2 linked regions of the Schizosaccharomyces pombe genome follow. Each later gene encodes a partner of the first gene's protein in a complex. Each region holds a gene or a part of one and is shown on either strand. Other genes may lie near its edges. A codon is read from its position in the direction of its gene.

Region 1 (4,351 bases):
CTTACCTGTGTATTTAAGAAGCCCGTGTATACAGGATTATCTAAAGTTATTTTGTTGGTCGTTAAGCCCTGAAGAAACTTGACTGCATCAACTCCTTCAACACGAATGAGAGATTTCGATGAATTTAGACAAACGCTGTAATTTCTAAATAGCTGGAATGAGAACTTTATAAACTTGCTCCTAACGGTGAACCTATTCATTGCCCATAGGTAAAGTACTTGAATTCACTTGGTTTCCTGAGGCTAGAATAGGACTCTTTTACAGTAAACCGAATTTCTAAAATCGATAAGTGGTTGAGATGATGATTTCGCATCACATTGTTTTTGTTACTTTTCGGGGGAATCCAAGGAGGATATGGCAAAATTATTAGTGTATATTATAAAGATATATATTATTATTTGTTTGCAATACAGTAATATCACTGTAGGAAAAAAACCTAAGGTCAAAACATACTGAAGATGAATTTTCTTCGATGAGGAACAAAATTTCCCTTTTCTTAAAAAAATAATATTTAATTCTGGTGTTTATTACTAGAATCGCTCTTAAATTATTACAGGTTTTAGATCATAAGCTGACATCAAGCGTAAAGCTTGTGATGCAAAATTTTATTTCAGCTTCGAACATCAGTTCTATAATTTAAAAAAAAAAAAATTGAATATCGAGTAACAGCTTTCTATTTTGTGTCTTAAAAAAAAAGAGATTGCAAGTTTTCTCCGATATATCCGAAGCATCAGCATACTATAGCCGGAAATGAAGTGATGAAATGACATTGTACGATCCCTGCTCATTTCATTTCATCTACAAATATTAACCATTAATACAACAAAAGAACATCATTACTCTTAACCATGCCAATAGCTCCCCTTGGATATACCAATATGTCAAAAATCATGTTGAGACAATTTAAATGCCAATATATAATCTACATGGAAAAATTAGAACAGTTTAGGTTCCTTTAAGAAAAGAGTAAACAATGAACTTTTGTAAATTTAAATATAATGAATTTTTTATTTTCACACAAACCAAATCTTCCAAGCATTGAGAAAGGAATGAGAAATAACAAAGGGAAAATGAAAGGTACTTCAAGGAAGCAAACATGGATATGCTCATAAATTACCTCTGAGGTGGACGAAACAAAAAAACAAAAGGAAATTAGAGAAATTAAGCATAAACCTGTTTGAACTCGTTTATGATAGCCGGTACCGAGGTTGAAGGTAAAAGCCCCATTTCACAAACACATACAGTAATTAGACGAGGTGGAGTAACATCGTATTTTAGACTGAGTAATTTTAAGTTCTTAACACTTTTCCAATTTGCGAGTACACCAGGTTTTTCTTCAAAGTCATCCACACCCATGTTTACAAGTTGATCGCCAGGTGCAAGTTCATTGTATACCAACGAATCCAATTGAATGCGCTCAGTAAATTTATAAGACTCGCAACACGCTATTACTGGAACATTAGACTCGTGTCCCAAAAGGGAAATTAAAGAGGTACCGGCACGAGAATATAGAGCACCATTCGAAAGCATAGCATGGCCTCCAAGGAAAATTTTGGTCACTTCTTGCATGATATAGGAAAGCGCTGAAATCATGACATAGGTACATTCAATCCCATGCTCGGTCAACAGCTTCAAACAAACCCGGCCTTCAAATTCTGGACGAGAGTCTACCACGACAACCCGGAATTTTTTACCAACATTCTTAGCATGAATGAGAACATCGTTTACTGTCGAAGAGTGCAAGTACGTTAAAATGACATCTCCGTCTTGTATTTTTTCGGTTGCTGCTTGTACGATGACTTGTCCTGCAATGATAATACGATCGCGAATATAACTGTCAATTTTTTCCAGAAGCAATTCTTTTCCCTCGTCGTCGGTAAGGTCAATGTCTAAAACAGAAATTTCGAGTTTTAAAAAGCGAATGGCGTTCCCCATACTGATACTCAACGGACGAGTTGATACTAAATAAGCAATTTGAGAATTTATATGCGTGGTCAGATGCCTGCTCAACGTCGTACCGTAGGGTGTTTGATAATCTTGGATGACGATTTTAAAAGTTTTCAACAAATCAATACAGCGCTGATTCGATCCAAAAATCTTATAATTTGCAAGTTTTAAACCCAAACGAATAACAGCAGGATGGATATCTTTCGGAATATTTTCAGTGGTTCTACGACGTCTCCAATCGAGGTGCGAAAAGATAGAAACTTGCTTTTCCTCAAAAATCTTTTTTTCTTGCAAATTAGCATCAGTTTCTGGACTATTCTGCGGGTTTTGTTTCGATGCCTTCTTTTGTTGGTTACTATTTTTATTAGGGATAGCTACCTTTTTTTCTTCTGAAACACCGGGTGGATTATTCGCGGCAGCTGCTTCGGCTTTTGCTCTTCTACTTGCTTGTTTTCTGGCCTTTTTCAACGCTTTTGCCTCCTTCCCTGAAAGTTTTGGCTCATTGGGAGAAACGACAGAAGAAGCTGTAGCTGGAGATGTTCCTCCCACACTAGAGCTTTCACTAACAGGGCTTTGATCCTTCCCATCCTTTTTTGCTTGTTCTGCTGAGAACCCCATCAGAAAATCAATATTTCTATTAAATTGGTTTGTTTTGGTAGAAGCGTAGATGAGTTTAGCTATAACACCCAACGTGCGCTTAGTGACCTTACCCTTACTACACCAACGCTATTCGACAACGTATACTTGTAGTTCGCATATATATTACTAGAAATTAATTACTTTATCGCCTTAAAATATCATAAAATTAAGAACTTTTATTTTTATTTTTTATAACCGTACAAACGTATTTATGATATTTATTAACAGGAATGGGCAAAAATACAGACAAACTGTACATTACACAAACTGAGCATTCGGGTGTGCATGGGTGGCATGGTGGTATGAGTGGCATAGCCCAAAAGAACAGTACCACAAGTTACAAACAACTTCCTTTTAATTATTGCTCTCTTTCCTTGCAGCCCTTTAACCATCCTTGTTGTCTTGTGGATGAAACCAAGCAAGCCATTATTTTCGATTTTAGGTATGTAAATCACTATTAGATGTGAGTTTCGAAGCAAATTTTTTGGTATTAAATGATATTTGTTTACCAACTAATCTAGTTGCTTTTGGAAATCTTTCATTCTTCATAAAAAAGTGGTGATGAGCGCTAACATGTGTTAGATTTATTGTTCCTTGGCTTCGAAAACATGGTACTAATCCTATTAATGGACAAAAGGCATCAATGTCAGATTTAATAAAGCTCAAGTTTGCAAAAAACAGTGCTGAAGAGTATTGTGATCCAGTTACGATGAAAAGCTTTACGCGCTTTTCACACATCGTGGCTATCCGTTCTACAGGGAATTGTTTTTCTTGGGATACTATTGAACGTTTGAACATAAAACCAAAACATTGGAGGGATCTCGTGAACGAAGAGCAATTTACCAGAGACGACATAATTACCATCCAGGATCCTCATAACGTTGAGAACCGAGATTTTTCGGCCATTCAAAAACAAAAGGAAACCGCAAGAGATGAAAAAATAACCAAGGCCAAAATTGCTTTACAAGCATCTCGCGCCAAGTCAACGGAGTCAACTTCATCACCTGAGTTATCGCATTCTCTCGATTCATCTAAATCTATAGCTTCTGATATGCCAATTCATCGCGCATCCCATACAACTGGTTATGCTGCAGCTTCCTTAACCTCCACATCATTTACTCCTGTAACGAAGAATGAAAGAGCAATTATTGCTGAAGAAGATTATATGCTTAACCATACGCGGATCAAGCACAAAGGATACGCGCGTATTGTTACTAATCACGGAGAAATTAATATTGAGTTGCATACAGACTATGCACCCCATGCTGTTTACAATTTTGTCCAGCTTGCCAAGCAGGGCTATTATCGTAATACAATTTTTCATCGCAATATTGCTAGATTTATGATTCAAGGAGGTGATCCTAGTGGAACTGGAAGAGGTGGTCAAAGTATTTGGGGCAAGCCGTTTAAGGACGAGTTTTGTAACCCTTTAAAGCATGACGATCGTGGAATTATATCTATGGCCAATCGTGGAAAAAATACCAATGGAAGTCAATTGTAAGTGTTTTCTTCTCTATTTTTTAAAAGCTTCAAAGAAATGCAAGTGCTAACCTGATTTATAGCTTTATATTGTATGGACCAGCGAAACATTTGGACAATAAACATACAATATTTGGTCGAGTTGTCGGTGGTTTAAATGTTTTGGATGCTCTTGAAAAAGTCCCTACCAACAGTAATGATCACCCCAAGTTACCAATCAAGCTTGAAGACATCATAATATTTGTAGACCCATTCGAAGAGTGGAAAAAAGATGAGCGGGAGAAGG
Region 2 (4,442 bases), 1.1 Mb from region 1:
TATGGGCTCCATCAGTATGCGACAAATAATCTTCTGATTGATTTCCATTACATCAACTGCTTTTGTTAATACGAATACCTTGCTAACTGTTTTAAGTTTTAAATATTATAATAATGGAGTTAAAGAACGTCCTGTTTTTTATGAACGTTAGGTAAGGCAATTTAATTTTCAAAACAAATAACCGTTCTGCTTTGCAATTGATGAAATATTTGCTTATGATCAATAAATGATTCTTTTATTATCACCAAGATCGCTGAGTGCTAAAGTTTTTGGTTATTTTATTTGTTTTAAATATTTTCGAGTTATTACTAACCCATAGCGATATGAACTTTTTTAGATGTATATGTGTATAACCTTGTATATATGTATAACTTTTTTGCATATATATGTACATGCGTTTTCATCTGTAATTTATTCCCCTTCGCTTTTAGCTAATATTGATCTATGAGTATATATTTTTAATCTAAAAATTCCTGACTAATATCACCTTTACCTTGATTAGTTTAGACACACTTTGTAGAGTAAGTGCACGAAATTTTTATTATATCTATTTCAAAAAAAAGGTTGGCTGACAACGGTTTGATACACAGTATTAGTCCATGTCCGTCTCAATTTTTTCCATATCAACCAGCCGCTCACCCCGAGCGATACGGCCAGCTTCAACGCGATGATCAACGCCAATTTCGCATTCACGAAGTTTTGACTTAGCGCCTATTTGAGCACCTGAGGCGACTATGCAAGATTCTAAACGTACTCCGTCTTCAACAACAATGTTGTCCATCAAAATAGAGTTGCTGACCACTACCCCTTTTCCAATTACACAATTTTTACCGATAATGCTCTTTTTAATGTTGCTGTTATCCTTAATGGTGGTACCTTCATTCACCATACAATCGGCACCGACCAGTGCTCTTTCGGACACGGTGACATCTACAAGGCGTTGTTCTGGAGTAAGTTTGGCGATCTAGTTTGCTGTTAGAGATATTGGATGAAACTGCTAAAAAGCGAGATGAAGCTCAGCTTTCGAAAACATACGCATTTATTAAGTTCGAAATAGTTAGGTAAATTATTAGCCCTAGAACAAATAATCCCATCTTTGGCAATTAAAGCATTAATTTTAATTTCCTGTGAGGATAATCCCCCATCATAATTATCAATATTGTTAGGAGATGACAAAACTTTAATTGTTAGAAAATAGTTAATTAAAAAAAGCACTTACATCTTTGAATGTTCTCTCGTACAGTAAAGGATTTCTGATATTGACATTTAACAAGATACGGGATGAGATCTCCACGAATGCTAGAAATAGATTCTTTCTCCCGGATCAAATCAATAACCCAGTGTTTAAATACAAATATATGGGCATCCGAAAGGTTTGTATTTAACGTAACCCTTGGGTGTTTCCACAACAAAGACATTCTAAATGTAAAATCACTGCCCACGTCTGCGGAACTTTTGGCATACAATAGTCTGCTCGTCTTCTCTTCAATTCCAATCAGTTGTTTTGCATCAATCTCTTTAGATTGACTTGTAATATGCTCATATTTTAACACTGGACTATATACAGCCAGTGCTGAAGGGTTATCAAGGCGAAACTTATCCAAACCGTATATGGGAGGGAGACCAACTATACTATCACAACTGAGACACACAAAGTCATTCTGGTGGGTATCGGTTAGCATTTTTTGTGACTTTAAGACGAGTAATTAAATTGCAGAATGAGAGAGAAAAGATCAAAAAGTCTAAGAACACATGCATATCTACTTATACATAAAAATAAATCATACCTTTATAAGATGGGATACAGCACGAAGAGCATCGGCAGAGCTTTTAGAATCATCTAAAATAGTCGGTGCTTCCACGTGAATACGCATATGTCCCTCGTAGCCAGATCGTAACCAAGCATTGATATGGGCTTCCGCTTCTTCCATGCAAATAAGAATAGCAGAAGTAAATCCAGCAGCTTCAAGCCAATATAATGGGTAGTGAAGCATCGGTTTATTGCCGATAGGTAATAAAGCCTTGGGAAGTGCATCGCTTCCAGTCAAAGGATATAAACTAAAACATGGTTAGTATTTTCTTATTGTTATTTTATCTTTTTTAAGTGTTGATGAAGATAATATGTGCGAAGTCATCATTATCCAAATCGTTAAGTAGTCAGTACTACACTTGTTTGTTTTACCTATTGCCAAATCCTGCAAAAACAACAGCTTGAAATTCAATCGGAATAGACTGTAATTGAATATTCCCCCGATTTCGTCCACCAGAAATAGGTCCAAGGATTGAAGGGCTACTGGCTAAAGGAAGTGCAGCATGCTCATACAACGACATTGTGAGATGTTGTTCTTCAAGGCGTTGGATGCTTTTACAAAAGGTTTTTACCTAAAAGGATGCTTTGAAGCCAAAATCTTTTATAACCTGATAGAAGACGAATTATTGGGTTTTTTTGCAGTACGCCAATATTTGATGAAGATGGAAAACCTTACTTTCCTAGATCCCTACTAACGAGCCAAAAGTTTACACGTTACACATCACTATCTGAAATAAAAATGTGCTGAATTTATATTTGTGTTTAGAAAAATGTATTCATGAAATATGAACTATTGATGATTTTTTTTTAAAATGATTTACCAACTCAAAATGTGGAGCTGCTTGAAAACTAATTATTGCTTTGCACTTGTAATTTTGTTTAATGTGCAATATTAAAAAAGATGTTTTAATAATCAACGATTTATAAATCGGTACGTTTTCGCGATCCTGGTTTATAATCAATCCGATAGTAAAAAATATCAATCAAGCGCTCAGAAAATGATCCTCTGTACACCAATTAAGGAACAAATATTTGAAGCCGGTTAGTAAACTATTATTTTGAGGAATCAGAAGATTAGAGATACAGTACATTGTGTATTGTTTTCATTAGTTTTTTAAGTTTAAAAACCATTGGACTACTGCAATCGTAACAAGTTGAACTAAAAGTTTTGGATTAGATTACCCATAGCTCTCATCTCGGTGATTAATGTATTGTTGTTAACTACCGAGTAAAGAAGGAAGAAAAACCAGAACATTGAAAGATTTTATAACAAATAAATAGTAATGGGATACCTCCGGTAAAGCTCAATAATAAGTTGATGTGTATGCGGCATTACTGTAACACTGCACCACTCTTAACTTCATCGAATTTTTTTTGATATAAGAAGGTTTTATTTAAAGATATATTTTTAAGCTTAAAAAATTTTTTTTGGCAACAAAAATAGCAAACAATTTAATATCATCTACCCTGTCAGCTAAGTAGCAAGCTATACCTGTTACCTATATTAACGTGCGCATATCCCACCTCTCTTTAAGCTTCTATTTAGCGAATCGTTCATCACAATCTTGAGCAGTCATAGTTTCGACTCATACTTCACTATCATTTAAGGCGGACAATAAATTAATTTATACGGCAGCAAAATTTTGCCTTAACAATATACCCAACTACGGTGTTTGTTCAGCGCGTACCTGAAAATCTTTTTTTTTTTGTTTCGTACGCGTTTTAAAAAGTAAGTTAATATAGATATTGATTTTCCAACGCCGCAGTACTTGCCTATGATGATTACCGTTTATTTAGATGCTAGACTTCTGAATTTCATCTTATGTAGCTACAAGGTTTTCTGAGGTCTGCTTAATTGATTAAAATTTTTTATTTTCTGTGATGGTAACATACAACTCATTTTACGGTCGGTACAAAAAAATTGAAATTATATTCCAAGTATTCTCAAACTTTGATTGCTGTCCGAATAGAACAGTCCGACTCATATTATTTTAATCAAGTTATAGCAATTTGACTGGGTGCTGTTTTTTCTTTTGTACATTTAAACCTATCATTTTATTATCTTTTGTATTCAATTCACAACCGAAGCTCTAACAAGTTTTAGAAAATGTGCGGAATTTTGGCGTTAATGCTTGCTGACCCTCATCAACAGGCATGTCCTGAAATTTATGAGGGTCTTTACAGTTTGCAGCATCGGGGTCAAGATGCCGCCGGTATTGTAACCGCTGGAAACAAAGGTCGTCTTTACCAATGCAAGGGATCCGGCATGGTTGCCGATGTTTTTAGTCAGCATCAACTTCGCCAACTCGTAGGTAGTATGGGTATTGGTCATTTGCGCTATCCTACTGCTGGAAGTTGTGCTCACTCTGAAGCACAACCCTTTTATGTTAACTCTCCTTATGGTCTTGTGTTGGGCCATAATGGTAATTTAATTAATGGACCCGAATTACGACGCTTTTTGGACACTGAGGCCCATCGTCATGTAAACACTGGATCTGATTCTGAGCTTTTGCTTAACATCTTTGCTTACGAGCTTCAACGGTTGGATAAATTTCGTATAAACGAAAATGATATTTTCGAAGCTTTGCGTAATGTATACGATCGCGTTAATGGTGGTTATGCATGTGTTGCT

Evidence for each region.
Region 2: the proteins of tif224 (region 1) and tif223 are in contact, whole or in part, in a crystal structure (PDB 6JLY), measured with the Schizosaccharomyces pombe proteins. Residues at the interface, in NP_594503.1 of Schizosaccharomyces pombe: Thr133 (codon at 2,169), Thr134 (codon at 2,166), Glu135 (codon at 2,163), Lys139 (codon at 2,151), Asp140 (codon at 2,148), Ile141 (codon at 2,145), His142 (codon at 2,142), Pro143 (codon at 2,139), Ile146 (codon at 2,130), Arg147 (codon at 2,127), Leu150 (codon at 2,118), Lys151 (codon at 2,115), Asn154 (codon at 2,106), Lys172 (codon at 2,052), Ile173 (codon at 2,049), Asp177 (codon at 2,037), Tyr178 (codon at 2,034), Gln179 (codon at 2,031), Phe409 (codon at 1,341); in NP_594962.2 of Schizosaccharomyces pombe: Ile30 (codon at 2,244), Leu32 (codon at 2,238), Gln33 (codon at 2,235), Ser34 (codon at 2,232), Ile35 (codon at 2,229), Pro36 (codon at 2,226), Glu38 (codon at 2,220), Phe39 (codon at 2,217), Asp142 (codon at 1,658), Asp161 (codon at 1,601), Arg164 (codon at 1,592), Leu165 (codon at 1,589), Asn167 (codon at 1,583), Lys201 (codon at 1,481), Ser303 (codon at 1,134).

What each region holds. Positions count from the first base shown.
Region 1 is NC_003424.3:4,255,950-4,260,300, reverse strand, and holds tif224 (translation initiation factor eIF2B delta subunit tif224), read right to left. Parts: upstream 2,602-4,351; 5' UTR 2,566-2,601; coding exon 1,162-2,565; 3' UTR 518-1,161; downstream 1-517. Other genes in the region: iba57 (iron-sulfur cluster biogenesis IBA57-like protein), read right to left, coding at 6-200; cyclophilin family peptidyl-prolyl cis-trans isomerase Cyp8, read left to right, coding at 2,817-3,028, 3,169-4,083, 4,149-4,351. UniProt on the Schizosaccharomyces pombe protein: Acts as a component of the translation initiation factor 2B (eIF2B) complex, which catalyzes the exchange of GDP for GTP on the eukaryotic initiation factor 2 (eIF2) complex gamma subunit.
Region 2 is NC_003424.3:5,365,437-5,369,878, reverse strand, and holds tif223 (translation initiation factor eIF2B gamma subunit tif223), read right to left. Parts: upstream 2,475-4,442; 5' UTR 2,332-2,474; coding exon 2,183-2,331; exon of another isoform or gene 2,114-2,182; intron 2,059-2,113; coding exon 1,788-2,058; exon of another isoform or gene 1,665-1,787; intron 1,662-1,664; coding exon 1,220-1,661; exon of another isoform or gene 1,179-1,219; coding exon 1,036-1,178; intron 965-1,035; coding exon 593-964; 3' UTR 501-592; downstream 1-500. Other genes in the region: amidophosphoribosyltransferase Ade4, read left to right, coding at 3,918-4,442. UniProt on the Schizosaccharomyces pombe protein: Acts as a component of the translation initiation factor 2B (eIF2B) complex, which catalyzes the exchange of GDP for GTP on the eukaryotic initiation factor 2 (eIF2) complex gamma subunit.